Rattus norvegicus: one gene and its partners. The main gene of each other region encodes a partner of the protein of the gene in region 2 in a complex. Links are inferred from orthologs where the notes say so. Each region holds a gene or a part of one and is shown on either strand. Other genes may lie near its edges.

Evidence for each region.
Region 1: Pfdn2 (region 2) and Pdrg1 share a complex: the UniProt entries of both Homo sapiens proteins name them as parts of the PAQosome complex. The link is inferred for Rattus norvegicus from reciprocal best matches to the Homo sapiens genes PFDN2 and PDRG1.
Region 3: Pfdn2 (region 2) and Dnaaf10 share a complex: the UniProt entries of both Homo sapiens proteins name them as parts of the PAQosome complex. The link is inferred for Rattus norvegicus from reciprocal best matches to the Homo sapiens genes PFDN2 and DNAAF10.
Region 4: Pfdn2 (region 2) and Uxt share a complex: the UniProt entries of both Homo sapiens proteins name them as parts of the PAQosome complex. The link is inferred for Rattus norvegicus from reciprocal best matches to the Homo sapiens genes PFDN2 and UXT.

The regions. Positions count from the first base shown.
Region 1 is NC_086021.1:161,939,681-161,947,457, forward strand, and holds the start of Pdrg1 (p53 and DNA damage-regulated protein 1), read right to left. Parts: upstream 4,302-7,777; 5' UTR 4,269-4,301; coding exon 4,182-4,268; intron 3,023-4,181; coding exon 2,947-3,022; intron 1,602-2,946; coding exon 1,527-1,601; intron 1-1,526. UniProt on the Homo sapiens protein: May play a role in chaperone-mediated protein folding.
Region 2 is NC_086031.1:86,302,837-86,310,775, reverse strand, and holds the start of Pfdn2 (prefoldin subunit 2), read right to left. Parts: upstream 4,949-7,939; 5' UTR 4,939-4,948; coding exon 4,864-4,938; intron 1-4,863. Other genes in the region: Nit1 (deaminated glutathione amidase), read left to right, coding at 5,081-5,082, 5,650-5,745, 6,142-6,399, 6,504-6,607, 6,817-6,950, 7,085-7,210, 7,885-7,939. UniProt on the Homo sapiens protein: Binds specifically to cytosolic chaperonin (c-CPN) and transfers target proteins to it. Binds to nascent polypeptide chain and promotes folding in an environment in which there are many competing pathways for nonnative proteins.
Region 3 is NC_086032.1:95,825,631-95,832,806, reverse strand, and holds part of Dnaaf10 (dynein axonemal assembly factor 10), read right to left. Parts: intron 6,600-7,176; coding exon 6,499-6,599; intron 4,174-6,498; coding exon 4,043-4,173; intron 2,537-4,042; coding exon of another isoform or gene 2,507-2,536; intron 1,964-2,506; coding exon 1,862-1,963; intron 1-1,861. UniProt on the Homo sapiens protein: Key assembly factor specifically required for the stability of axonemal dynein heavy chains in cytoplasm.
Region 4 is NC_086039.1:3,675,939-3,683,853, reverse strand, and holds the start of Uxt (protein UXT), read right to left. Parts: upstream 3,951-7,915; 5' UTR 3,945-3,950; coding exon 3,847-3,944; exon of another isoform or gene 3,802-3,846; intron 2,205-3,801; coding exon 2,123-2,204; intron 1,986-2,122; coding exon 1,918-1,985; intron 1,649-1,917; coding exon 1,541-1,648; intron 1-1,540. UniProt on the Homo sapiens protein: Involved in gene transcription regulation. Acts in concert with the corepressor URI1 to regulate androgen receptor AR-mediated transcription. Together with URI1, associates with chromatin to the NKX3-1 promoter region.

The DNA of each region.
Region 1 (7,777 bases), on a different chromosome or scaffold from region 2:
GCACCCTTCAAAGCTTATCAGCCAACTATGCTATGAGGGACATTCTACTGGCTATCCGCTGCCTGTCTGCTCCCACTTCCTAAAGAAGAAAGGCCCTGACTAGCCATGCCTCACAGCTTTGGTAATTGATTTCTTGATTATAAATAAGAAACTGTTTATGAACTTGTTCAGTCTATATTGATTTGGGAGAAAACTAGAACCCTCATAGATAAGAGATTAGACAACATCTGTGGGTCAGCAGGACACAACACCGAATCCTGAACTCAGGCAGTGACCCCTAAGTTTTTAGCTGTACAGTCTTTGCCCATTACCCAAGCACATTGACCCTTAATTTTAAAATAATTCTTTACATGTATTATTATGTGTCTGTGTGTTTTGCCTGCATATATGTTTGTGCACTATGCCATGCCTGGTGCCAAGAGGTCAGAAAAAGGTGTTGGATCCCCTGGAATTGAAGTCACACCAGTTGTGACCTACTATGTGGTGATTGGAACTGAGCCCTGGTCTCAGAAGAGCACTGTACTCAATGAGCCACCTTTCCAACCCAACCCTTCATTTTAGCCACACTACCGTAATTTAATAGCTGAAATTTCTGCAGGTTTGTTCCAGTTCCCAAAAGTATAAACATATCCTGTCTTCAGGAAAGGCAACCTTACTGGTCCTTTTGATCCATGTGTTTTTGAGGATGTAAAAGAGAAACAAGTGTATCTGTCTTTTCCCAGGCTTCTCTTTACAGAGCTTCTCTGAGGAGATCCCAGTTGTTCACGGTTTGAGACCTGAGCAGTACTTTGCTTACACAAGCTGCTCAGACTATAGAGGCAATCTTGCTCTTTCTATACTCCATTTTCTTGCAGTAATTATACCCAGGGCTTTACACAGGCTAGGAAAATGCTCTACCTCTAGCTATGTACCCAGTCACACCTTCACTTTCAGCACAGTCTCAGCTGCAGGGGACATGAAAAATAAAAGCTCACTCGGGCACTGGGGCGATGGTTCAGTCAGTAAGTGCTTGCTCTGCAAGTGTGAGGCCTGCATCTCCAGTACCGATGTTAAAAGTCACACATGCTCAGTGTACCTATTATCCCTGCACTAGGGGACAGAGACAGGCAGATGCAGAGAGCTTGCTGACCAGCCAAGGTAGCCAAAGAGGTTGGGAGACCTCACTTAATTTGAGGGAGGAAGTAAAGTGGAACGGGCTAAAGGGGGAACCTGACACCCTATTCTGACCTCTGCATACTCATTGCAATACACACACACACACACAGGCAGACACACGCCACAAACACACAGACACACAGGCTCATGCAAAACTTCACTTATCCATGACCCTTCACAGCTACGGATGGCCTTGACCAATGAGATTCTGGCAGAGAGTGGCCTTATTTTCAAACAGAAAGCAAAGGCCCATATGGAAGAAGCCCTTTGCCTTTCCCCAGCCTAATACAGTTTTGGTTCTCAGTGCTGGATTATGATTCAGACTGGGGGGAAGGTAGCCATGTCCTTGACCCCTCTTCAGGACACCTTACCTTTCTGGATCATTTCCTTCGTCTTAAGGTGAGGCATTTTGATGAACATGTTCCCAAAGCAAACCATCACGTCTTCTGAAACAGCAAACAGACATTTCTTCATGTTTTGTTTTTCCCTTTTGAAGCACCTATCATCTGACAGGCACTGTTCAGATGCTAAGAACATAGCAGAACAAGACAGTTCATGCTCTCGTGGAAATCACGTCATAGCAAAAGATGGGGAGTGAGCGAAGCTGTTTTCCACACACCGCTTAAGAACTAGCATGGAAACCTGTAGTGGCAGTTTTGGCATTTTTGTTTCTTTAAAAACAAACAAATAAACAAACACAGAAATCCTGTAAGAATTATGTCTTCCTTATAATCCCAGGTGTGGGATATGGGGAGCTCAGAGAGACTGAGCACAGCAGCTGACTGTGGTTTGCCTCATGCTCTGGCATGATTTTGCCAGCTGCAGATAGTTTCTTCGAGTGTGTGATGTTTGGAATTCTGAGGGCTTTTGAGAGGGTGTAATAACGCTAGGTGCCCCCTTTCCAACCCCCCTGACTTTATTCAAGGATCTCTTTTCTTCATCCTTTTTTCTCTCTTATCTAGTGTTGGGGGTTGAAAAGGTGGAAAAGTTGGGGGAGAAGGGTGGAAGAGCCCAGAGTGTGGCAAAAGGACCAGTTAATTAAACAGACAGACAAAAAACCCAACAACAACAACAAAAGCTGTTTAAAGAGCTGGGAATTGTCAGAGGACTGATGTGTTGAAAGTTGGTATGAGACTTCTATGTAGATGTGACATTCAGGCACAGAACTGAGGAAAGGGAGGACACTACACTTACAGACATGTGGGAAAACAGAGCCAGGCTAACAACCAAGGGACCAGTGAGTGAGCAGGAGAGTCAGGGCTAATAGGGGTGTGGGGCTGGGTCATGGGGAGTCCTGCAGGACAGCTCTGGGTTTCACTCAGGTGAGATAAGCCAGTGGAAGCCCTACATGTCAGCCTTCACTATGGCCTGGATGCTGCCCTCCTTTCCAGAACTGCTTCATGTCAGACCTCTGCTTGCTACCACCAGCCACAGCCACCTGGCCTCAATACCCACCCATGGCCTCTCACCATTTTCAGTTATGTGTCTATGCTGCTTTTCCTCATGTGGAACATAAGGGCAGAACTATTGCTTTTTATGTGCCGTGAGCACTCTCTGTATCTGCCGTCAGTGAGTGATGAGCTAATGGCCTGTCGCTGAAGTGAGCAGCTAAATTCTGAGTCACAGCATATGTCTGACCTGCAACACTGGCTTGCTCTTCTCCACAAGCTGTCTTAGTTCCCCATGAGGGTGAGTCACACAGTCCCAGCCTCCTGCCTGGCTGGTCTTTACCAGGGATAATGAAGTCCCTGAACCAGCTTCCAGGGCTTCAGTAAGGATGCCACAACTTACCAGAGACACTCGGGTCTTTCTGTAGGGCCCTCAGGCCCTCTCGGTTCTGATTCCTCTTGGTGTCCAGGTCTACAATCTGAAAACAGGAGCAGATGGGAACTCAGCTGCCTCCTGCCCCAATCTGAAGAAACAAGGTATCGTTTCTGGTGAAGTTCCAATGTCTTGCCTGACATGGACGACTCAGGTGTGAACGTTCTTCTTTACCCACTTGGTTTCCAGCTCCTCTGTTTGTATGGAGCTTTCCTCCTCCACAGAAGGTGGTGGGAAAATGTTTGCAGATTGAGCCACTTTGTATCATCCACTCAAACTTGAGAGTATACCGGGGTCACCAGGGAGTTAGTTGAGTGTCTCCTCTAGACAGTGACTATTGACAAGCTCTTGTTAAGTAACTCTGACAGTCTCACCAGACATTCAACCATACTGGACTGGAGCAGCTGTTGCACCGTACCACTATGACAACTAACTGCTCAAGAGGCGACTTTCTGGGGCTGCAGCTAGTGAACCATCAAGCCTTTTCAAATATAGATCACGAAGAGTCATTACGGTCATTATGGTAGCTTCTGAAGACCACCAAGTATATGTCTCACCCCATCATTCCCATCTTGTCTAAATCCAGATCATCTGGATCAGCTAAATGGCTCGCTGCACTCTAGGAAGGAGCCAGAGAGAGACTTTTAAAATCTAAATGCACACCTGTAATCCCAGAACTCAGGACACTGACAAGGACATACCACGGGTTGTTCAAGGCTGTCTTAGGCGACACAGTGAGTTCGAGAAGTCTGAGATACATGAGATCCTCTAAAGTTTAGTCTAAACCAACCGATCAATCTATCAGTCACTATTCAATGATAACATCCCCAGGACGAACTCCCTTTAGGGACTACTTACCACAGAACCAGAGCCAAGCACCCCTTTCGGGTCTACGAAGCCTTCAACCAAGCCGCCGCCCCCCACGCACACGCACACGCACATCAGTGTACTGCCCAGACACATCCTGCCCATGTCTCAACAACCTGATTCAAGATGGGCCTGGGACTGCGTTTGGAAAGTGGTGTCAGGGATCCGGGGGACCAGCAATGACGGGGCAGGGTGAAAGGAAGGCAACTGCCCAATACAGAACTGACTGGCGCTCACTAGGCACCAGGCCGCTAGGAGCAGTGACGCCGGGAGGCCCGGTGATCACCCTGCGACGCCGCGCACTTGCGTAGGGCGCTCGCGGCCGCCGCGTCTCTCACCTGCCGCTTGTCTGAGAGCACTGCCTCTGCCAGCTCCTCCACTTCGACCAGGTACCGCAGCACTCGATCCGCCTCGGGGGACACCATGGTGCCACAGACCTCTTCCGACACTCGCACTACTACTTCACCCCAGCTCCTTCCGCGCACGCGCCGTTCTGGGACTTCCGGCAAGCCTGCGCAGTGAAAAGAACATGCGCCTCAGCTGGGCTCCAGAGGGGAGGGTCAGGCTTTGGGAGCAGGGAAGATGCGCCCCCTGCAGGCTCTGATCGAGCAGCCCAACGCACTGCCCTTTCCCCTCCCTTCAAAGGGTTCCTGGGCATCCACCATAAACCAGGTTGGGTGTCGGGAAGGCGGCTGCAAAAGAAGCATCCCGGCTCTAGGAACGTCATTCCATTGGAAAACAGCAAACACTGACAGCAAAATAATTACACATTATGGGAGGTAGCGATAATGGCTTTGGAGACACAGAGATCATAAAGTCCAGTTTAACATCGCCAAGAAACTGAGTGTGGCAAAGAGACTCATATTTTAACCCGCGACACTTTCAGCTTCCAGTTTGTAAATAATGGGTATAGAAATTCCCCGCACTGACTCTCTCTGTCTCTCTGTCTCTGTCTCTGTCTTTCCTGTCTCCCCCCCCCGCCCCCACCACCACGGAAGACAGAAAGGAAGCAGAAATCATTTTAAATTACATCTGGTTGCAGCGTTTGTTGAATCTAATGTCCACAGTAGCAAGCCAAGATTCACAGAAGGAGCTGGAAACTGTCCAGGGTGAGCAATGAAGTGTCAGTAAGATCTGAAGAGTGAATTAGGATCCTGGACTTCCGGGGGGTGGGGGTGGGAGGGTGATGACTGCCCGACAGAACCAGAGGGGTCCCCCAATCTCTTACTGTACATTTGCAAAGCTGGAGGCTTAGAGGCGGGCTACCTCACCCATCCTCTTGTTTTTCCGTGTGTGGAACTGGAATTACCCCAGTGCCTCTCAAGCGCTACACCTGAGCTATATCTCATCTGTTTTCTTTTGTGTGAGTGTATGTGTGTGGTGCATGCATATAAGGGTACTCTGTGCCCCTGCAGAGACAAGCAGAGGCCAGAGCAGGGTGACAGGTGTCTTCCTTTGACATTCTCCACCTTATTGTCATGAAATAGAGCCTCTCGTTGAAACGGAAGCTCTTTTGGGTTAGGCAGCCTAGACTTGGGGCTCTCTGGATCTGCCTGTGGCTGTTTGCTCCCCAATGCTGAAGTGACAGGCCCACACAACCATGTCTGGATTTTTCTGTAGGTGTTTGGGATTCAAACTCAGATCCTCATTCTGAGTGTAAAGTGAACACTCCTCACTCACTAAGCCACCTCCCCAGCCCTAAGACTCAACTCTGACATCCATTTTTTAGTCTCCTTTTTTGACTCTGGGTAACTTAGCCCATTCATATTCTTGGCCTCACTTGAATTTCATGGCCACTTTTGTAGAGACCGGATTACGACTGTTTAGTTATACAGCTGCAGGCTGAGGCTGGGACAAGGGCACAGATCCCCAGGGTGGAGGGTGCTGGTCTCTGTCTCACAACTGTTGACGGACACTGACAAACTGTGGCTCACGAAGCCCAGAAACACCTCCGTCTTGTCTGGCTTTGGGCTTCCTTCAATTCCTAGAGACTGAGACAGTTTTCTCTGCAGCTGCCTGGTGTGGGGATGGAGGAAGCGTCATTAAGGATTCCTCATAGAGGGTGAATTTGTCGCCAAACCCAGGATGTTTTGTGTAAACACCTTCTGGTTCAGAAACGCAGGCACAGGCCCTGTGAAGGAAGTGGGGGTATTTGCCAAAGGAAAAATGAGTCTTCCAGGAATCCCTGGGGTCTGGACCCTAGTCCTGTATCCTCTCTCCACCTTGGGGCCAAAGATGGCTGGAAAAACTGACACCCCTGACCCCTGCTGGGTGGGCCTGAATGGAGAGAAGTTAAGGAAGGTTCCATGTTAAATTTCTTGGCTCTGACTGGCCCTCGGGGGCCACATCTGGTCACTGGATATTGCAGGGAAGGTCATACTCATCTCCAAGAGTCAAAATGAGCAGATTGTGGACTCTGGGACATCTCTGACATTACCTAACTATTCGTGTCATGAAAATGTAGCAATTTCCCAGGCTCAGAGATTCATGAGTCTACTGTGAGCAAAGCCGGTGTGATACCTGCCTTTAGGCTGTGGAGGCAGGGGAGTGGACCATCGACAGGGATATAACCAAATGCATCCTGGATCAAACGTAGATGCGTGTTGCCAGGTCCCCAGCAATGCAAGGTGGACAGGGAGAGATACAGGAGCCATTTGGGATAGGTGGTTAGAGAAGGCTTCTCCGAAGAGGTGGCATTGGAACAAAACTGTGGAGGAGGTAAGGGGTGAGACATGAGGGTACCTGGATGGGGTGAGGTAGCACTGTAGGTAGAGGACGCAGCAGGCACAATGACCCTGAGGTGAGCAGCAGTGAGGCTAATGCACATGTAATAGAATGGGCGAGGGAGAAAGGTGGGAGATGAAGCCAGAGAGGCAAAGGAGCCACTGGATATAAATAGCTGGGGAAAAGGAGGTGTCAGTGCCATATCCTCACCCACAAGGCCCTCCTTGGCCATTGCCTGCAGACTGCAGTCCCTGCTGCCCAGACCTGTGACTTGTCTCTGCTCACTGAGGCAAGGCCAGCAGCAAGTACCAGGTAAGGTTGGCAATGGAATGAAGCCCTAGAAAGGAGGGAGGAATGAGTGACTCATCGCCCACATCTTTACTTCTCTGTGGGGTCGACATTGATGCTTCTCATGTGGGGCTGCTGCATCCATCCACATAAGAGAAGGTCACTGGACCGAGGGGCGGTGAGGATCCTCAGGACATTTGCACACAGTGGCCCTCAGCCTGGTTTGATTTTCTCCCAGTTCCTTTGTTACTGCAGTCATGATGTGTCTCCACCTGTCAGGTCACGTCCTCTCTCTTCTGTGCTGTGTGTCCCCACCTCTGTATCTCTCTCTCTCTCTCTCTCTCTCTCTCTCTCTCTCTCTCTCTCTCTCTCTCTCTCTCTGCTCTCTCAACATCCCTTTCTGAGCATTAGCTTCTTGAAATGGATTTTGTGAATGAAGTTACCAGAGAGAGAGGTCACACCTACTCTGAAAAATCGATGGACTGATCCAAACTTTGTGATTGCAAAGAGTTGAAATGTTGCAGATTCAGAACTGAATTATCCTGTGCTGTCTTTATTCCCCTTTCTAGCCGTTTGTTGCCCACACCTGTGACTTTTTTTTTCCTATGAGGTAAAAACCTTTGAAATATATTTTACGTAGATCAGTAGATCTCACACCACCCAACTGCTAAGAAGGTCAGCAGATAGCGTCTAAAACCTGTAACAACTTCCCCCATTTTGCCATTCCTTGTCTGACCGCAGCCTCCACCAACATATTTAATAAATGGGGTGAATTTTGCCTTTGTTTTGTTCTATGATTATCAAGAGCTCATGTAACCTGGGCTGGGCTTGGTAGCTTGTGCCTTTAATTTCAGCACTCTGAAATTTCAAAGGTATCCTAGAAAGCAGGGTTTTCTGGGCCAGTCAGGTCAATATGGTGAGA
Region 2 (7,939 bases):
GGAAGGAAGGAAGGAAGGAAGGAAGGAAGGAAGGAAGGAAGGAAATAGAGCCTGAAATCTAATACAATTCACAGGCTGTCTATGTACAAAGTGGAAATAGGTCAAGACAGTGGCCAGTAAGATGGCTCAACTGGTAAGGGGACTTTGCAGCCAATCTTGGCTACCTGAGTTTGATCCCAGGATGGACAAGGTGGAAGAAGAGAACAGCTGCTGCAAATTGTCCTTTGGCCACCACATGAGCATTGTGGCATTTCCACAAACACAAAATAAATAAATGCAAACCTGTTTCCCTCCCTTCCCAACCTGCCCCCCCCCAAAGAGGTTTACCAAGCAAGTGCACAAATTAGCACTGACAGAGAAAGCTGAGTGTTACTATTTACCATACAATGACAAAAAACGTTCCGAAGGCATTTTGGAGACCCTGGCTGTCTTTCCAATCATGGAACCAAAAGCTAGGGTCTTAAGGGCAGAAAGAACTCACAGCCCAGTATACCTAGCCTCTGCTCCTCACATCCCAGCATGCTCCATTATTTATTCAAGTACAGCTTGTACTGCAGCTGGAGAAAGCATTACTAGCAGTAACCTGTGGTAGTATCTATGCCTCGTGGTGCTAATTCTGGAGGCATGCAGAATGCAAGAGCTGTGGAGAAATGGCTTCCTCTACCAAAACTTCACAAGATGCACTGGACTGTGGGAGGTTAAACAGGGGTGCAAGGAAAACCCTGATGTAGGAATGGGAGCTGTCGGGGAATCCTCACTGGAACAAGCCCTAGGCCAGGCAGCCACCATGATCTCTAATAGTACAGCAACTGTCAGTGGACAGTGCCTAACCGGGCAAGCTGCAGGCACTGGTATGCCCCCAGCCCAAGTGCATGAAGCATGGACTGTGCCCTGTGGAGCTGTCTAGTATTTTAGAGGCCCAATTCCTGCCCCAGAGTTTCCAAATGCCATATATAGGGATAATTTATCATAGAACGGTAAGACCATGCCTGCCCTCTCGGAATTCAGACTTAAGGCTTTAACAGTAAAGCCTCCTCCTGGCTTTACTTCTCTCCTTTAGAACGGGAATGTCTACCCTCTGCCTGCCTCTGCATTACATGATGAACGTGCATATGCTACTCTCATTGCACAGGCTCACAACTGACCCTGGAATTTTGAGTTAGTACTGGAACAATGTAAGACTCTGGGGACTACTGGGACAGAATGATTGTATTTTACATTATAAGGTCATGAGTTTGGAGGGTAAGGGGTATAAAGCAGTGTTTGAGTAGGCTCTGTCCTCTTCGAAACACCTGTTGAACTTTGACAAGTGACAGGAATTTTCTTGTCTTTTTGAGATTCACACTGGCCTCAAATATGCTATTTAGTTGAGGATGAACTTGAACTCCTTTTTTCTTTTTTTTTTTTTTTTTTTTTTTTTTTCCCGGAGCTGGGGACTGAACCCAGGGCCTTGCGGTTGCTAGGCAAGCGCTCTACCACTGAGCTAAATCCCCAACCCCGAACTTGAACTCCTAATCCTGCCTCTCTACCTCTCCCCCAAATACAGGGGATCTCTTACAGGCGTGTACATCACAATCTACTTTGCAGCAGGGCTTTTCAGTTGTTTAGTTCATTATTATATGTGTGTACATAATGTTTATGTGTCTCGATTTGGGGGAGCTAAAGAGATGGCTCAGCAGCACTTGTGGCTCTGCACCTACATGGAAACCCATAACTATCACTGTCTCTAACTCCAGAGGATCCAATGCTCTGACCCCCACAGTCCAAGGTCACCAGGCACGCATGTGGGTGGCTGGCTGGCACATGCGCACACATGCACACGCACACATGCACGCGCACACGCGCACATGCACGCGCACACGCGCGCGCACTCACTCCTCCAAGTGCTGTGGTACACCTGGGAGATCAAAGCAGGAAGAATGCCACAAGCCCTAGACTAGCATGGTCTACATAGCAAGTTCCAGGCTAGCCAGGGCTACAGAGGGAGATCCTCTCTCAGATAAAACAGCAGCAAACCAATAAACAATAAATAGAAATAGGATAAACCGAAAATAAAACAAGGGCCTAGTAGAAAGTATGACCTGCTCCTATCTTCCTTGTGAAAGTCACATCAGGCTTGAATTTGTATCAGTGACAAACACTTAAATTGGGAAGAAAAGTTCCACAGGTAAAGAACCAAAGAACCAGAGTTTGAGAACTTGGGGGGTGGGGGAGGTATGGTATTGAGGCATGAACTGCCTGGCAATGGAATGCTAGGGAACTTAAATTCTGAGGCTTGTTATCCAAGTGCTGGGGAAGAGAGGGTCAATGGACTCTCTGGCCAGCCATCCTAGCCTGGCTGGTGAGTTCTAGGCCACATGAAAAAAACTTGTGTCAAAGAACAACAAGGCTGACTGTGTCTTCTTCAAGTCTTGCAATACAGCTCTTTTAAATCTTCCAGCATTTCCAAGGCCGGGCAGTTCATGGCTCAAGGCTTATGAACACATTTCTTCTAACGAAAAAAAAAAATCCTCACATTGACTAACTTTCCTCAGCCTTTAGAATTAAGCTGAAGAATCCTCTAGAAAATAAAAACAAATTAGCATTTAGAAAGATTGTTCAGATCATGTGCATGTATGTATGTGTTTGTGTGAGATGAGGTGCTCAAGTGCAGAAGCCATCTCTCCACCCCTAACTAGCATTTAGTCAACACACTCTGTAGTCTCTGTTTTTTAGTCATGGTGATGGGGGGGGAGGGTGTCGAATGAATTTTCTTGCCTAGTACACTAAATAGTTATGAAATGGGAAGTACATGTTTTCACAGATAGAGGAGGGTAAAAAGTAAGAAGAGAAATCATGTGCAGAAGTTTTTGGTGTAAGGACTGGAGCAATGGCTCGGTGGAAGAACTGTTACTTCTATAGCAGAAGGCCTGGGTTTGGTTCTCAAGACCCACATGGTAGCTAATAAGCAGTTATCAGGGGCTTGGACCCCTCTTCTGGCCTCCAATGGCTCCTGCACAGGTGTGGTACATGCACACACTCAGACATGCAAATATACATAACATATTTTTGAAGTCTCGTTGTTTCATTTTTATTTGCCATTCTGTCTGTCTTGTTTGTTTTTGAGATTGTGTTTCACTCTGTAACCTAGGCTAGCCTGGAACTGAGAGGGTAACCCATTGGGATTATGGGTATGAGCCATCACACTTGGCTGTGTCCAAATTTAAGATAAAGTCTATTTCACTTACCTGTTTCTCTGTGTTAAGCAAAGTATAACACAAGACAGACTCTCAAAAGCTTTACTTTTTTTCTTTCCCACTGTCAAGGTGCCTCTTCCATCCCCAGAATGTCACTTCTCTTTGAATACTTACTTTCCGACTCATAGTAGAACTGTAAACCCCACTTCAACAGACGATGCTCTCCAACAGTATGGGTTTTAAACTATTTCTGCTGATACTTTTTTTTAAAGATGTATTTATTTATTATATATAAGTACACTGTAGCTATCCTCAGACACACCAGAAGGCATCAGATCTCATTACAGATGGTTGGGAGTCACCATGTGGTTTCTGGGATTTGAACCCAGGACCCATGGAAGAGCAGTCAGTGCTCTTAACGGCTGAGCCACCACTCCAGTCCCTATGCTGATACTTTTACCTGCAGTGATTGCTCAACAAGCAACTGACAAATATATGATTAAAATAGCTCTTCAATCCCAACCCTGGACCTCCATACCAGGTGAGAACAGACACCCACCCAGACCCCACACCTCAAGGCTTTCCCATTTAACCCACCAAACTACACCCCTAGCTTCAACTATTTTCATTTCGATTGTGTGTTCTTCTTCTTCTTTTTTTTTTTTTTTTTTGGTTCTTTTTTTCGGAGCTGGGGACCGAACCCAGGGCCTTGCGCTTCCTAGGCAAGCGCTCTACCACTGAGCTAAACTAAATCCCCAACCCCAATTGTGTGTTCTTCTAATATCAATTAAACACTAGTCCCAAGACTAACAAAACATGGTCCCTATACCACAAAGGGCTTTCTGATTAATTCGTCAGATGTATCCCGATGTTATGAAGAGCAGAATCACACCTGCATTAGAAAATGGTTTCTAGCCTCTTCTGAAAACTTAAGTCTCTGCAGAAGGGAGCATAGAGAGTGAGCTGGACCATGTCTCAAAAAACGAAAACAACCCGAGCCAGGAATAGTAGTCCCAGATAATCCCAGTATTTGGGAGGCAGAAACAAGCGAATCTCTGTGAGTTCCAGGCCAGCTTGGTCTACATAGTGAATTCCAGAAAAGCAAGGCTACATAGAGCGACCCAGCCCGACCCTATAGCAACCCTCATCCCCACCCCAAGACAAAACAAAAACAAAACAAAACAAGAAAATAACTAAGCCACAGTCTCCTTAGTCCAAATAGTTACTGAACACTAAACTGGTCAGAGTCTGAGTCACGTGGCTCTGCAGCGTGTTTGTGATGGTGAACACGGTTTTGGAGTCAAAGACTAAATAACCCACTCACTGACTAAGAACAGCCTGGGATTCGTTACTAGATGACACTTCAAACACCATATTCTCTTTAGGGTACCTCGTAGAGGGGGAGACGACGATCCATGTCCTTAGGGACCTGGACAACCCTCCCAGATCCTGCATCTAAGAGCTTTCTCTCTCGACTACCCACCCACACCCCGGGCGTGCCTCTCACCTACCTACCCCACCTACTCACGCCCTAGAAAGGATTGTGATCACCCCCAAAAACGCCCTCTCCCCTGTGCGTGACCACGGAGAACGTGGGAAGGACTAAAGGCCCCTCTGAATCACAAGTCCTTTTCCTTGCACGAACTCGACACCGACCCAGGTGCCTTCTACGCTCGCGGTTCCTCACCTGTTCCGCCGACACCGCCCCCTTCCCCGTGCCACTCCCGCCGCTCTTGCCCACACGACCGCTGCTGTCCGCCATCTTCCCCACCTGCAAGCTTTCCGGCCTGCGCACTCCCACTGCGTCACATCCGCTCTAGTGGTTACCGCCCACTTGCTCCTGCGCTTCTGGCTTCTGGCAGCTCTTCAGATCCGACCCTGCGAATGGTTTTGGCTGTGTCTTCATGTAGGACCTACTCCCCAACCCTGCCTGCTGCGGTGAATTCCACCTGCTATGCTTTAACTTGTGCAACAGAGATTCTTGCCCCGGGGAGAGCCGGGGAAGGACGCGCTAATCAGAGGGCGGGGGCTCGGGTTGGGATCTGATCTTGTACCCATCTACCTACCCACCACGAGAATGGTGGAGATCTAAGGAGGGTGAACTTTCCTTCTGAGATTCTGGTACAAGGGGAAAGATACATGTTGAGTCTATAAAGCTGTCCAGGTGGCACAGCCGAGAAGAGAGAATTGGGGAAACGAGGAAGGTTCCATGAGATGACTTGAACTGCGGAAACGTTTGGCAGAGGAAAAGGGCTTCAGTTTTAATGTGAGATCACTGGAAGTTGAGGTATTAAGGCACCGATCATAGTGTCCTCTTCCATTTTCCCATTTTATGATCTCATAACTACTAGTAGTAAAGTGTTTTCGAAGCCTTGGGGGAGGGGATTACTGGCCAGGTCTGGAAATGGCAGAGAATTCTAGAAACTTACAGCTTGAAGGAGGGTTAGGTGTCCTGATTTTTCACCTTCTTCAGGCTGGGCTTCATCACCAGGCCTCCTCATCAACTCCTGTCCCTTCTGTGTACCGGATACCGATTACCTCAAATCTCAGTACTTTGTACTCAGCCCAGGTAACATATTTTATGTTCTTTGTCTAGCACGTAGTTGCTAAGTCCATGTTTATTAACCGAATAGTGGACCTGCCATCCACCAAACATTTAATGCGTGTACTCCAGTAGCTTAGGGTTATTTAATGCTCTGGAAGAATGAAAACAAGTCGCTAGGGTTGGTGGGACACACCTCTAATCCCAGCACTCGGGAAACAGGCAGGAGGATCAACTAGGAGTTTAAGATCATCCCCGCTACATAGAAAGGTCTGCCTGGGCTACAAAAAGACCCGGTCTCAAAGGGGAGGTAAAATCAGAAAAAAAAAAAGTAAGTTTCCGGCTCCACCCCCACTTGAGCCTCCCAAGTTTCTCCGCGGCACGCGGTAGAAATCCTGAGAAAACTGCCTGTGTCATTCACAGGCCCAGAGCCATGGCAGAGTCCTCATCGACTTCCTGGGAGCTGCCCCTGGTGGCTGTGTGCCAGGTAACATCAACACCAAACAAGCAAGAGAACTTTAAAACGTGTGCTGAGCTGGTTCAAGAGGCTACCAGACTGGGCGCTTGCCTGGCCTTTCTGCCTGAGGCATTTGACTTTATTGCACGAAATCCTGCCGAGACATTACTCCTGTCCGAACCACTGGATGGGGACCTTTTGGGACAATATAGCCAGCTTGCCAGGTACAAGGGTAGGGTGGGGGTGGGGAGGGGTAGAATCCCTGTTGGGCAGTGTTCCTGGATTGCCACATAGAGGGGGTAGAGTTGTCAGTGTCCCTCCCCCTCAGGGAATGTGGAATCTGGCTGTCCTTGGGTGGTTTCCACGAGCGTGGCCAAGACTGGGAGCAGACTCAGAAAATCTACAATTGTCATGTGCTTCTGAACAGCAAGGGTGAGACTTCACAGTCCTTCAGCTTGCCTCTTCCTAGGCTCATCTACCTTCTTCCAACTCAGATCTTCAGCATTTTTCTCAACTGCTTGGCTTTAGGGGTTTTTTTGTTTTGTTTTGAATGCTTCTGTTCTTAGCCTAAAAATTACTCTTTGGGAGAAGAGCTAAGCTGGACTTCCAGTGTCTGTACTGAGCATTTTCTCTTACTTTAGGATCAGTAGTGGCCAGTTACAGGAAGACACATCTATGTGATGTAGAGATCCCAGGTCAGGGGCCTATGAGAGAAAGCAACTATACCATGCCTGGATACGCTCTTGAACCACCTGTCAAGACACCAGCAGGCAAGGTAGGAGTTTGAAAAGAAAATAGGAATATGTTGAAAAAGTTGTAACATCTCCCTTTGGTGTAGGATGATGGAGGTAGTATTCAATGTTACGTTGACCAGGACAGGGAAGATGAGTGGGTTGTTTCTCGTTTCAGGTTGGTCTAGCAATCTGTTATGACATGCGGTTCCCTGAACTTTCTCTGAAATTGGCTCAAGCTGGGGCAGAAATACTTACTTATCCTTCAGCCTTTGGATCTGTTACCGGCCCAGCCCACTGGGAGGTAGGAGAATGCCTCTTCATAACATATAGGCCTCCTTTAATCTTATTTTTAGTAGTGGGGACAGAGTAGCACAAACCTAAACTCTAAGCACTTCAGGGGATAGCCACAGGTTCAAAGCCAGCATAGTGATGCCTCGAGTAAAACAGAAAACAAAATAGAAGCTGGGCAGTGGGGGTGCACACCTTTAATCCCAGCCCTCAGGAGGCAGAAGCAAGTGGATCTGAGTTCAAGACCAGCCTGGTCTACAGAGTAGGTTCCAGGACAGCCAGGGCTACACAGAGAAACCGTCTCAAAACAAAACAAAACAAAACAAAACAAAAGTAACCCACACCACCCAAAATAGTGGTGCATGGTGGTGTGTGCTTTTTATCTCCGCACTGTAAGGCAGAGGCCGGCAGATCTCTGTGGGTCCAGGCCAACCAAGGTTATACAAGGAGACCTTATATAAAAAAATACAAAACACAAACACACCCCTCCCCTTCTACTTGAAGGATTTTCTTCCCTTCCGATCTGGTGAGGAAATTCGTTTCTTAGATAGGTGTGAGTCATGTTATAGTTAGTTACTAATTCTAGTTGATCAATAGTCAATGAGTAGATTGGGCCCACAGTGTCCGCTTCTTGTCACTCGCCTATTAAATGCTGTATGTTCCTGAGTACGCACGTCTCATCCTCAGGTGCTGCTGCGGGCCCGCGCCATTGAGTCTCAGTGCTACGTGATAGCAGCAGCAC
Region 3 (7,176 bases), on a different chromosome or scaffold from region 2:
TGACAATATATGGATGCAAATGTTTTAAAATTATTTTGCAGAATATTCTCTGTAATGAGTTGGAATGCATCTTTAGTGGTGTAGATGACCACACCTGAAGTTTAAAATGTGACATTAATTTCAGCCTGCTTAGCTCCAGGATGGTTTTCCTGCATAACTCGTACTGAAAGAGGAACTGTGAGGGAAGAGGAAGGTGCTACCAATGTGTGACGCTACCTGGGTGATACCTGACTCCAATCCAATGTCTTCATTCTCGACTGCCTCCAGCTTCCTCCTCATATACTCCAGGCTTGCGTTTCTACTGTGAGCTCTTGATGGTACAGTATCTTGCCCTTCTAGGTCCCAAGTTCTCAGCTTATCACTGCCCCACTGCTTGTGAAACTTTTCAGTGAAAAGCATCTTCCCCTCCATGATCAAATCTCATGATCATCTTGGGCAGAATCTTTTATGTTGTTCTCCATTTAATGCACACAAAATTGTAAATACTATTTACTCTGTATCTGTCTTGTGTATCATTTTCATTGCCTTCTTTACCTGGAACCCCCCTAAAACTTCAACTCATCACCACTGTGCCTTCCACCCCCACTGCACAGCAGCAGTGACATCCTGACCGCACGGACCGTCCACGGCAGATCACTACCTCCAGGCCCCACAAATAACTGTGCCTAGAGTCATGTCTGTGGCCAGTTGCTCCACCATCTCCTTCTGGGGCACTCTGAAGCTATTCCCTATGTTGCAAAGTTTTCCCTATTTCTGAGACAAAAATCCTCTGAATCCTTGTTCTGAGATCAAAACGATCTCCCTCCCTGTCTGCCTCTGTGTCTGTCTGCGTGACTGACGCCTCTTGCCATGGTGTATCACTTATGTTTTACACTGTAAGGAAAGCAGACGTCAGCTCTTCCTCACTGAACCATATGCTTCAGGTCTCAACGACAACCCAGTTTCACTGCTGCATATTCACGCTAAAGTAATTAAAAAAAAAAAAAAATCTAAAGTCGGGCATGGAGGTGCACGGCTGCAGTTCCAGGGCCTCGGGAGGCTGACGCAGGAGTATTACTTGAACTAGAAGTTTGAGGCCAGCCTGAGCAACGCAGTGAACTCTTGTCTCAAAACAACAAAACAATCACAAAAGCCAGGTCGTGGTGGCACATGCCATATCCCAGCCCTTGAAAGGCAGAGGCAGGAAGATCTCTGACAGTTTGGAGCCAGCCTTATCAAAAAGCAAACACAGGTTTAAATCTAAATACGGAGCAGCACGCAGCAGTACATGCTTGGGAAGGCGGCTAGCCTGGGCTCCGGCCTGCAGCGTTTACAATCAAAGACAAGCAGCAACACTGACAAGGTCAGAATGCACTATGAGTATATTAACACAGGTCACAGTTATCAGACTTATATGAAATAATCGTGCAATGGCACAACTATTTTCTAGAAAAGAAACACTGCAAAATGCAGTGTGAGGGGTTTTTTTTTTTTTAGGTTATCACTTTGAGGCTTAGCTCTATTAATGGAATTTGGTACTAAACTAGGCCAATATTACCAATTAAACAGAAAAATATTATAATAATAGTAAATACTTTCAACACTCCGTAATCCATGCCCACTCTAGGAGCTTTAGTGACTTACTTCATTGGCTTTTCAACGCTATTAGCCATGCTGTACATAGCCATGCTGTACGTACAGTAACTTCCCCCGGCCACACAGTAACTAGCACGGTGAAGACGCAAACCCTGGCCTGAGATTGCCTAAGACCATGATGCCGGCCTAGACAAACCTCAGGAGTCTACAGAGCGGCTACCGGAGACTGCCTGTCATTTCCTGAGCCACGATGAACCTGAAACGAGGTTTCTTGTTGACAACTTACCAAATGCCACAGTCCAGCAGTCTCTCTTGTTTTCTCCTTGTGCGGGTTCCATGTTAGCGACAGGATCCTCTTTTTGCCTCGGGTCCCACACCTTTACAGTTCCTGTCATGGATAAAAGGGAGTGGGCAAAATTCAATGGTGACTGATCGATCATATTTCCTGTTTATGTTCTCTTTCTACAGTTATCTGTACACGTGACAATAATTGTTACAACATCTGAAAACTGTTCAGAGTGGTTAAGTTGTCCTTGATACCAGACATAACCCCATGTTAGTATTAGAATTGATTCCTAAACTAATAGCTATACAGAGAAAACCCAAAAAGTATTCCTAGGTTATCTGTAAGTGATGATAGGCACATCAAATATAAGTGCACAATTCAAAACATGCCTTATTGTCTGGGTTAGCACCAAATACATACAAACACATTTAGAATAGTGAGAGTATCATTTTAACTTTACTTTTCTTACTACACATAGAACCATTGGTTCTTTTCTTATACAGAAGAATAAGCGCTGTCAACACACTTTTGTATGGGGTTTTAAAATGCCATTCCATTGTAGGGAGGCAGCTCATGGCAGAGTGACCAGCATGCACGAGGTCCAGTTTCACTTGTTGACCCAGAAGAAGAAACAATCAATCGCACCTCTTTCAGATGTGATCGAGCTCAACTTTCCTGCATAAGTTAACGAGGAGGAAACTATCAATAAAATTAACTTAAATCAATTCATACTATAGGATTACTAACTAGATTACTAGTGTCACAGCCTACAGTCAACATGATTGCATGTAATGAGGTGGCTAAAAGGCCTACATCTGAGCAAGAGTAGGGAAGGGAAAAAATATCCCCAAAAGAGACCAGGGATAGAGCTGGTCATCAGAAAGGCTGCAATCTCTGTGGAGGGACTCCCACAAATCTGACAGCGATTACCATCTCAGCTGTGGGGTTATACAAGTCACTAAGATCTTAGTAAGTTTCCCACACTTGACATAGCAAAGAACGTAAAGACAATTCAAAACGCAGAATTAATCAACGCTCAGGCACTGACACTAGCGTACATGGAAACGGAGGACAGTTTCTAATCTACGACCTTACAGGAGGAAAGAGCAATGTTAGCCACTCGTAGTCTCTTGTCCACTACAGCTGGCCAGGGAAATGGGTACTATGGTTTATTTAGAAATACATTTTATGGGGTTGGGGATTTAGCTCAGTGGTAGAGCGCTTGCCTAGGAAGCGCAAGGCCCTGGGTTCGGTCCCCAGCTCCGAAAAAAAAAGAACCAAAAAAAAAAAAAAAAAAGAAATACATTTTATAAGTCATAAAATATCCCCAAGGACTTACATATTCAACTACAACCACTTCTTCAAAGCTTCAAGCCACTGTCCTAAGACTACCCAGAAAACATGGAGCACACTGATTGGGTATTACAGAAGCATAGTTTAGCATGCTGTTATAGCCACACGATGGCATGTTACAGCCATTAAAGTAAGAGTTATGGAAGCAGAAGCGTCTGCATCTGCGAACTGTAAGGTACGATGGAGAAGCACAGCGCTGTGGCGGCATGATGGACTGCCTGCCATCTTCCCTTGTGTTTCACATGGCTCCTGTGAAATGGTAATTCTAACACACCTCTGCTCTCCAGAAACTACTAGAAGATTATATTTTGTTTTTCTTTTACGGTAACCTTTTAAAAGCAACTAATATATCTCCATGTGAGACAACAAAGCCCAGGTCCATGTAGTCATCCAGACCTGGTCTGTTGGTCCCTAAGGCCAGTGCTGGGAACTCAGACACATCCCAGAATACGTCTTCAGGTACCTGTCAACCTGACATCGTGCTAAGGACTAACTCTGCTTTTTAGAAAGAGTATGAGAAGCCGCCACACACATCACATCACTGGCTGCTTCAGAAACCTGTGAAGACATTGTAAGCCATTCAAATCAGCTCATGCCTAGGTGTTGAACTAAGTCCACACTAACCTATTCAGCGCTGGGTTTCCATCTGAAAATACACAGAAGCCTGCAAGGAACTGGGGACGCACAGTGAAACCTGTCCCTTAAAATGCAGATGCACAAACGGCAGCTACACAGTCAGACCAACAAGACGATTCCACGGCAGAGCGTATGGCAATGCACAAAGGTGCCCGCCCACTACACCTTTGTTCAGTACTTAAGCTGACTCACCATCTCGGCTGCCCGTCACGATTTCCGGGGCTCCTTCCCCAATTCCAAGTCCACCTATACCATCTATGGTATTTATGATTTCTTTGTGCCCCTTTACAGAATACACCGGAATCTCTGGAGCTTCCAAATTCCTAAGCAAAAAAACACAACTACTTATCACATGCCCTAAAAACCAATTCAAAGTAAAATAAATAAAAAAACCCCAGACAATTCAAGCTGGAGGAAGACTTTAACGTAAGAGAGAGGCTCTGAAAAAGCTTGAGGAGAACACAAGTAAAACACTTGGTGATAGGAGCTCAGTGAGGAGTCTCGGAAACAGACTCAACAGCACCGGAAATGGGCCCATCAAGGCATGAGTGGTTAAGGTTAACACAATGAGAGGTTATCCAGCCATGAAGAAAAATGGAACAAGGATATTTGTAAGAAGGGGGCCAGTTGTTATGTTAAGCAAATAAGCCAGAATTGGGAAAACAAATGCCATGTTTCCTCTTATGCATAGAAAATAAATTTAAAACTGTACACACATACACATGTGTATATATATGTGTGTATATAGGTCAAGCCTGACGACCTGCACTGACTTCCAGATCATACAAGGTGTGAAGTGAAAACAGTCCCATAAGTCATCTTCCACACATGCACACACAGAGACACAGATACAGACACACAGACAGAAGGACATTTGCTCTCTACTAGTGCATGTGCATTTACAGAGAGACACTGACACTCAGACAGAAGGACATTTGTTCTCCACTAGGGCATGTACATGAACACACACAGACACAGATACAGACACACAGAAGGACACACACACACACACACACACACTAAATAAAATGTGAAAATAATTTAAACAACAAAAACAACAAAACAAAACTTAAATAGGGTCAGAGGGAGTGGGCAATGGAACAAACACAGTAAGGATGTATTTAGTCTGAGTGTGGGGATACCTTTAACCTTAGCACTCAGGAGGGCGAGACAGACAGATCTCCGTGAGTTACAGGACAGCCTGATCTACACTGTGAGCTCCAGGGCGGCCAGGGCCATGTAGAGAGACCCTGTCTCAAAACAGACAGACAGACAGACAGACAGACAAACGTGGCTCTATCCGGCAGGAAGAGAACCGCAATCAGGCAGCAGGCACACAAGTACAAGCAGAAGTAGAGGGAAACGAGTATGACCAAAGCATATCGATACATACATATGCATATATACATATACAGTTAAAATAATGAACATCTACTAGTCTGTATGATAAGCCCCCAAAACAATGAAAAATAAATAAAATACAGAAAGTAAGACACTGGCCTCTCCTTCCATTTTTCTGAAGCTCTATGACAAAGTATGTAAAATGATGAATAAATATGAACTTAATAGCAGGAGTCAGAAGAAGGAAAATTGCACTAGCTTTTAGAGCAAGGAGTTACACTAGCTTCACTTTTATGTTACGTTTCTAAAATCAGGTAGATGTGAACACGGTTTAACTATGAAGCAGTACAATACAAATGACAACCAAAACGGGTTGCCACAAGCCCTAGGCTGGCACCCTCCTCCAGTTTCATCCTGAGTTCTAAGCTGGCCTGGTCTACATAGTAATACACAGTGCGTCCCAGTCCAGCCAGTGGTACATGGGAACCCTGTCACCAAAACAAACAGCTCATAGGTGAAATGAGCAGCTAAGAAAGAAACAAAGAAAGAGAGCTGCTGTATACTTTAAATGCAGAAAATAGATTTTTCCACAAAGTAATTAAAGAGAAATTTGAATTCATTTAACTTTAAATATTAAGAAACAATTCTAAGTAAGATTTATATAAAGGCAACGGACAATTCTGTGATTTTGTTCAAAGCAGGCTTTTACTGAGTTGTTCAATAGACATTTTCCTAGAAGTCGTGTCTAGATCATAAAGTATTAAATACTAACCAAAACTTTAACTGGGAGTTCTGCATGGAAAAAATTAAAATCAGTGCATCGCTCTAAAAAGTCAAAACTCTTACTAAAATGGCATTAATTAATTGCCAGTCCCAAATACCCTGTGGGCAGGTAAGAACCGGTAACACTGTTTCAAGTTCTAAACCAAAGAGCTCGGCATCTTTCTAAACCTCTGACCTTTACCTTTTGAGGTCATAGTATAATTATATCATCCCCCCACCAAGCCCTCCCACAGATCCCTCCTTTCTCTTCCACATTGGGCCTGTTTGTTCACTGCTATTACATGCATATACATACACAAACATATAACGTTATACATACATATTCCTGAATGTAATATGAAGGTGAGGATTTTAGGTAAACATTGAATGTGACATAGAGGAATAACGCAGTCCTCATGGCTTCAGTTTTGGAAGGAATTAAAATATCTGAAGTAAGTATTTTAAAGTTAGAACTCTCTTTCAGAAGACTAAAAGCCTATCGAACAGAGTACTTATCCCACTGGAGTACTGTTTAACGATCTCACCAGATATGAAGATTCCCATCAAAATCTCCAGTAGCCAAGAATCTCTGCTGCAAAGATGCGGCCCCAAATGTCCCACATTTAATGGGCTTAGCCTTTTCAATCTGGACAGAAAGGAGAGAGGACACTTTACTTATGTAAACACTTATTTATAACCACAACACTGACAGCTTTGCTGTGGGGGTTATAAACGCATTATACATAAAAGCAATAAAACGTTTTCTACAGACATTATACTCTTTCTTTAGTTAATTTTGTATAATTTAAAAAGCATATCATTGTCAAAAGATAGGTTTTTGTTTCAAGACAGGGTCTTTCATAAAACCTTGGTTGTCCTTAAACTCTGAGCTCTTAGGTCCCTGTGTAAGTAGGGTTTATTTATTTTTACTTCATGTGTATGGGTGTTTTGCTGTCATGTAGGTGTATGCAGTGCCCACATAATCTAGAAGAGAGCATTGGATTGGAGCCCCTGGAACTGGTGGTGGCCATGTGTGCTGGGAATCAAACCCAGGCTTTCTGGACAGCAGTCAGGGACCTCGGATCTCACTCTCCAGTTTCTGAGACAAGGTTTCTCATTTTGTTGCCTAAATCAGACATGATTCCAACTGGTCTAAAACCCAGAGATCATAGGATTACGGGAGTGGGAGACAGAAGGAGAGAAAGGTGGAAAGGGAAGAAGAG
Region 4 (7,915 bases), on a different chromosome or scaffold from region 2:
AGTATAAACTTTTTCCTTTAAATGCCTATAACCTGGGCTAGGGACACACAGTTCAGTAATAGAACTCTTGCTTACTAGACCGGAGACCTTGGCTACAAGTCTCAACCCTGTAAAGAAATGTAATACTTATTATCTAATTGTAAAAGACAATGAGCATGAGAAAGAAATTTCACAGTAAATTTTAAGAGGTAATAAGATTATAGAAAGAGAGAAAAACTAGGATATGGCTGGTGCAATGGCTCAGTGGGTAAGGGTGCTTGTCATATAAGCCTGGGGATCTGAGTTCTATTCATGGAATCCCTGGAAGGAGAACATCAACTCGCAAAACTGTGCTGTAATCTACACATGCATGCTACAACACAATGCCCACAGTCATGCAATATACACACTAATGGTAATTTTTTTAAAGTAGAAGAGGGGCAATTTAAGAACACTAGGAGTTGCAATTTTGAAGTTAGGTCACAGAAGAACTTGTTAGGGAGCTTGTTATTTATGCAAGACAACTAAGTGTCGAAAAAAGAAACTACACAGTAGCTACTGAATGCTCTTAAAGGTGGGAAATACTTAAAGCATGTGTTAGGGCTGGGGAGATGGCTCAGTGGACAAGAACATTTGCTGCTCAAGCATAAGAACTGGAGTTGGATTCCTAGTACCTATGTAAAAACTCACACACCTCTGACCCCAGCACTGGTGCTTGCTGAAGCCAGAAAATTGTAAACTCTAGGTTTGGGGTTGAAGTCAAAAAATGGCAAACTTTAGGTTTGGTGGAGACCCTGTTTCAAAAGAAATAAATAATAAATAAATAAGGCAGACAGCAATAGAGGAAGGCATTATCTCTGCATGTGTGGGTACATGCATATTAAGTTCAGAGGGCAAATGAGCCGAAAAATTAACAGATAGTTAAGTGAGAAGCAGCTTCTTTGACTGGTACTGATTCTTAGATTAAAATCTCATGGATGTGGACCTAGATATATGTACATATAACAACATAGTTCTAGAATGTAAGCCTCTAAGAATCTTCTGTTTTGTTTACTGCTGTATTCCCAATACTAACAACACAACCTGGCATACACAAGATGCTCAATAAATGTGTGAAGGAATAGTACAAAAACTACTTATTAAGTGTTTAGTATGACTCCGTGGCTGAACTTTGCATCCTCATTTTTTTTAGCTCTAGCCCTGAAGAGGAAGGTAGTATGTTTTTTTTTTTTAAAGTACCATCCCAGGTAGCTACGGGGAAAAGGGTAGAGTATTGAAATTTATGATGTCTATTTATTATTTTTTTCTGTTGTTTTATATAGAGGGATTTGTTTTATCACCCAGAGTGGCTTCAAAATCAGGATCCTCCTGCTTGATCTTCTAGAGTCGTAGGATTACAGGTATGAACTACTGCCGTATCTGACTTTTATATATTTTGTGTATGTGTTTGTGTGGTGTGTGATACGGATAGAACCTAGGGCTTCACACATGCTAAGCAAATGTTCTTACCACTTCCCTGCACCCTTAGCCTTTAGATACTATCCTCCTGGAATGAACTCACTCTGTGAGGAGGGAACTCTTTCGGTCAATGAACTTGAGAGCTTCGGCCAGTGTCAGTTCCAGGAAAAAACCGTATCCCAGGGCCACATAGATGCGTGAAGTATCTGGGCTGAGGAAAGAGGTCGGAGGAAGTGGAAGAAGTCTTTATTACCATTTAGCATACTGTATATAGTTTAAGGTGTTTCCTATTCCTTCCTATTCCCCAAGTGAAGGCTCTGTAAGGGCAGATATTTTGTGTTCATTTCTCCCACGACCACAACATGTTGCTTATATCTTAATGTAATATAAAAGCTACTAAAGCCTGGTATACAGAAAATACTAAGAAATACTTGTTCCATGAAAAAAGGGAGAAATTTAGAGGGGAGAGAATACACTCACACCATTGTGTCAACGAAGAAGTTACAGCCCAAATCCACCTGCATATATAACTCCGAGTGATTAGTTTCCTATAGGGCCAGGAGAAAAGAGGTAGGTGTCAGTGGCCAACTTTTAAGGCAGATAAAGGTTTTGTTCTGGGGGTTCTCTTCCCGCCTCCCTTCTTTGTACATATACACAAAGTGGCACCCAATTTAAAAGCCTTTACCTGGAGTCGCTCAATGACATTTCTTAGTTGAAGGTATACAGACAGCTGCTCATATACCTTGTCTCGATGGTCCAGTACCTTTCTGATACGTAGAAATACAACAGTGAATATTAGGCAGTCTTACTCCTTTTGAGATGCAGCACATCATGCCCTACTAGGCATTTTAAGCCAGATGGGGTTGTTCATGGATGCAATCCATGGGCTGAGGCAGGAGGATTATGAGCTCAAGACCAGCTTGTGTAACATAGTGAGACCCTGTGCCTGCTCCCCCAAACACTCATGATGGGGCATAGATAAGGACACAGCCGGCATTTCAATAAATATAGGTGAGACTGTACTTCATCCTGACCTCTACCTCTTGCTAGTAATGTGACTATGGAAAGTAGGAAACCTGTTTGGGATTAAGTTTCCCCACATAGAAAATAGAGATGGTAGTATTAGCATATAGGAGTCATTAGAATCAAGTGTCTACTACAAAGTGTTTTAAATGCTAGCCAAATGGTAAGCATTATATACTTAGAACCTATTACAATGATAAATATTGCATTTTACTCAGTGACTTATGCCAATTAAAATGTCCCATCTTCACCCTAAATATACCTCCCCGTTTCTTTTAGCATGATTACACAGCCCTAGTTCTCAATACCTAACTTTTTATTCAGATTAGTAATGACAGCAATAGTAATCATCTAGTTGTTGAGCTTTTAGTGTATTTCAGGCACTGGAGGCAAATTCCTTTTTCATAAAAGTTATCCAGGTTATTTCCAGAGACAATATCTGAGTTTCTCACGCTGGTATTGAATTTGTAATCACACCAAACAATCCTCTCCTCTCAGCCTCAATATAATAGTAGTTGGGTTTATCTGCATTAAACATGTGTTTATTTTGTGTGCATGTATAGGTGCCATGATACACCTGGAAGCTTTTTGGGAATCTTTTTCCTTCCATCATGTGGCTCCTAGAGATCTACGTTAGGGCATGGTGTTGGAGGCAAGCCATCTTGCTGGCCCTAATTTGCTTGTTTTGAGACATAATATCAGAGCCCAGGCCATACACAACCTCGAAATGTAAGTGAAGGTTACCCTGAACTCTGGATTATCCTGCTTCTGATACCATCCCAAGTACAGGGATTGCAGGCCTCTGTCACCACACTAGTTTTTTTTTTTTAAATAAAATATTGTTATATATTTCAAGGCTGGCTTGTAATCCTGGCTAAAAACGTGAATTTCCCCATCTCTCCACTAGAGATGGCACACACCATGGAGCCTGAGCCTGGCTTTATTCTACTTTTCCCCCTTTGAGACAGTCTGTAGCCCAGTTTGGTCTCCAGCTTACAAAGATCCTCTTGCTTCTCCCTCCTGTGGCAGAATGTGTTGGAGTTGACACATTTAAAACTCAAACACCACGTTAAAAAGGCCTAATAAACTTTTCCATTTCACAGATGAACGAAGTTCATAAAGCCTAGAGAGGCAAAGTAAGGTACAACTTGTTCATAAATATTAATTAAATGGCTTAGTTAGAAACACATTAGGTTCGGAATGACTATTTTAAACCAACAAACATGGTCGGAGCTCTGCTAAAGGGATAAGTTCCAACCAAATCTCAGCCCAGAAGTCAACCTTCTTCCCAGAAATCTGGTTGGCCAACCCGAAAGTTTGGCCGCATTCAATCCCACCCACCACGTCGAATTTCTCAAACGTCACGCCTCCCGCGTTGCCACTCACTGCAAGTCTCGCTGCAGTACGTCACTGATAAAGGCCTCATACCGCAGCACTTTCTCCCCCACCGTATCCAAGGCCCGCCGTTTCGGGGGCGTCGCCATTATGTGCTCCTGGGGATTGAAGGGGGAGGACCCACGTTGAGCGCTCCAGTTTAACTTCACAAAGTTCTCATATTGTGCACGACTTCTTTCGACTCGTGCTATGGAGTTCCTTCTGCCCAACCCTACTTTAGGACTAGTTCACTCACCGATACGCAACCGCGACGTTCACCTAGGGGCCACCAGCAATAACTGTTATAACGAACCGCGGCTTCCGGCTGGCGCGGATGGATGACGCATTTCCAGCACCAGAGCCAACCATAATCGATGGGGCGGGGCTGCCCTTCGTGCGAGAAGACGCATTTAAGGGAAGAGCTGCAGGCGGGGCCTGAATGAGTCCCTGGAGGTAGCAGGGTCACGCTGTTGGCCTGCAGGCAAATAAATAGTCGCGAGCTGGCGGGAGACTGGTTTGGGTGACGTTTAATGAGTTTTGGCGGGTTCTGAGGAAAGGTGGACTTACAGGAAGGTAGGGAGAGGGAGTTAAGTGTTTATAATTTCTTTGAAGTGTGTGTGAGAGCAGTTGTGAGCTACCGTGATGTGGGTGCTGATAATGGAGTTCACATTCTCTGCAAGAGTTGTGTGTTCTTAACTGATGAACCATTTCTGTATTCCTCCCTCCCCACTCTTAAATTCCTTCCTATTTTATGTGTTTTGTTTGCATGTTTATGCACCACATGTGTGCAGTGCCCACAAAGGGTAGAAGAAGTTGTGGGATTCCCTGGAATTGGAACTACTGGCAGTTTGTGTGCACCATGTGGATGCTGGGATCGAATGGCCAATGCTCTTAACTACTGAGGTATCCATATAGTCCCTACTTTTTTCTTTTAGAAACATTTCTAGTCTTTGAGAATTTCATAGATGTATGCAATATATTTTCATTATCTCCACTCCCTATTCCCTCCAACTCGTCCTAGACCCTTCCTACCACATTCCCCTTCCAATTTCATATTCTCTTTAAAACAAAAGACCAAATCAAAACCAAACAAACAAAAACCTCACTGAGACCACTTAAGCATTTAATAATTTAAAAAGCACAAGAGTGCCTATAGACCAGCAAGTATTATGGTACTAATCTATAAGGAAGGCAGGATATCTTGTGGCTCGCGCTCTCTCTCTCTCTCTCTCTCTCTCTCTCTCTCTCTCTCTCTCTCTCTCTCTCTGTGTGTGTGTGTGTGTGTATTACACACATAGTTTGGTTTTCACCCTCCAAAGGGCACATAAAAATGTTTAAACAGAGACAAATTTTAAGAAAATCATCTTAAATGAATTTCTGCTTGATACCTTGTCCCCCAAACCAAAACCAAAACCAAAATTTCGTGCTACATATATTTAAAATTCAATTTGGTGTGCTTAAAACAGGTATTAGGGAGCTATAAAATATTAGTTAATCTTTATTAAGGAGAACAGTTTGGATGGACTAGCGTTGAGTCTGTGTTAAGTCTATTAACTTGTATTTCGTGTATTTTTTTTTTACTTAAAAGATTCTTTTAGGTTATCAAAATGACTTACTGGTTAAAAGGTTCAGGCTAGCAAGTCTTGACAGCCTGAGTTCAATCTGTGGGGTGGCTTGTAGATTACTGCTGTTCCCTGACATAGAGAAAGCACACTTCTTTCTTACAATGGGAGGTAGTTACTATAGAACATTCATAACTTGTCGAACTGCAAGGAATGTTTCTGTTGCTGTGGTATAGCTGCTCAAGGTGGTAGAAAAGAATAATCACTTATATTATTCTAAGTCTTGGAGAACACTGTAGAAGATGGGATGGAAAGAATGTGAAAGCTGCAGAAAGGGAGCGTTGTCTCACTTCTTACACTGTGTTGGGCATAACCATTGCTGTTTTGAATAAGAGCAGATGTGATCACTTTATGAGATCAGGCCTATTAACAGTTCCTCATGGAAGTAGAAGGGAGGCTTATGTGGCTCGTGCTTTCAAAATCCACATGAAACCCTCATGAGACTCAGGATCCAGCCTATTAATATATTCTTTGTTAAGAGAGTAGAGAGGTTTGTGAGGTCATAGGGTCAAAGACCTTCCTTTCCTCAAGGGAAAGAAGTGGACTGGGGTGGAAATTTTTGGTAGTATAGCTTCCCCTACGTATTTTTTTTTTTTTTTGGCAACTGAGGTGGCATAGCTTCATCTGAGTCAGCCATGCTATAAATGAGACTCTCCAGTGCTCCAGCTTTTTGTGAGTTGTCCATGCTGCAGGTGGGATTAGTCAGCGGGATAGCTGCCTATGAGTTGCTCTGGATTTCTCAGTTGTGTAACACTTTGTGTCACCCATGCGCCAACAAATAATCACAATAAATTAATTTTTATTCACCAAACTGCACTCAGACAGGATCCTGTTGGCCTATTGGTACCCTCTCATCTGGAGTAAAATGTTATTTCCTGGAAGAAACTGATATGAGATACTCTCGTCTCTCTCTCTCTCTCTCTCTCTCTCTCTCTCTCTCTCTCTCTCTCTAGCTAGTGTGAATGGGGTTGATTTCATGATTTCTATTTCAGCAAATTCATTATTGGTATATAGAAAACAATCCACTAATTTTTGAATATTGATTTTACTTTTCTGCTACTTTGGTGAAATTTTTGTCAGTTCTAATAGTCATTTAGTGGAGTCTCTAGGTCTTTCTGCTTATAGATAATGAGGCAAATTATCTTTTAGGCATAGATGATAGATGGTTCGTCTTCCTGGGTCTTTTGTGTGGAGATTTTTATCTAGTCAGGAATTGATCTGGGTTTGGTATTTTTTTTTTTTGCTATAGGCAACCTTAGTTTTAGATTTTCCTGGTGGTATATAGTTTTTATCTTTCTACTTGGCTTTGGACTCTCCCTTTGTTCCTATTTACAGACACAATTTCTCTTCTTCTCCCACCATATTTCAGTTTCTTTTGATTGGTAGTGAAGTGGTCGTGTTTGTAGTGAGGGTCATCTTTGGTATTCTGATTAAGCTCTGTCTTTGACAGGCGCTGTGTATCAGTGTTGAGGATAAAAGGTAAAGCTTGATACTGCCCATTCTTCCTTTTATCTACTTGTAGTAAAATCTATCCAGTGTTTGCAGATGTCGGTTTTGGCTCATTTTTCCATGGAGACTAAATCTTTTCTATAAGAAGTGAATCTGGATAGATTTCATAGTGATCTCCTTAGCCAGAACCTTGAAAAGAGAAGACTTTCTTTTGACTTTTATATTGTAGGGTTCCTAGAGGTAAAACCTGTAAAACCTTTGAAATGTCCAATGTCTGCAGTTCCTAAGAACTTCATGATGTCATGCTAACCTACACTTGTTCTTGGCAATGTACTAAAGGTTCTAGTGTACACTCTCCAGTAGCTTATATGACTGATATTCAGCACATATCTAACCCAGGTAAGCAGATGCTCAGGTCCTGTTTTCTCCCACACTCACCTGTTTCTCTTCATATTTTACAGTAGTGTTTGCTGTGTGACTTCGGTTTTACTGATACTACTTGGGAGTATCAGTTACTTTTCTGTGCTAAAAAGCAATTATTTGGGTTATATCCCCTAAAATCCCCTTCTGAGAATGTAGTCTTGGACAAGCATGGAAGTACCATATATGCCACAGAAGAAATAGCATAGCAGGGGCTGGAGAGATGGCTCAGTGGTTAAGAGCACTGACTGTTCTTCCAGAGGTCCTGAGTTCAAATCCCAGCAACCACATGGTGGCTCACAACCATCTGTAATGGGATCTGATGCCCTCTTCTGGTGTGTCTGAAGATGGCTACAGTGTACTTATATAGTATAAATAAATTTTAAAAAGGCATAGCTAAGTCTTAGAGTTTTACTGCAGTGAACAGATACCATGATCATGACAGATCTTTTTTCTTTTTATGAAATATTGGATTTCTTTTCTTTTTTCTTTATTGGATATTTTTATTTACATTTCAAATGTTATTCCCTTTCCCGGTTTGCTGTCTATAAGCCCCGTATCCACTCCCCCTCCCCCTTCTTCTATGAGGG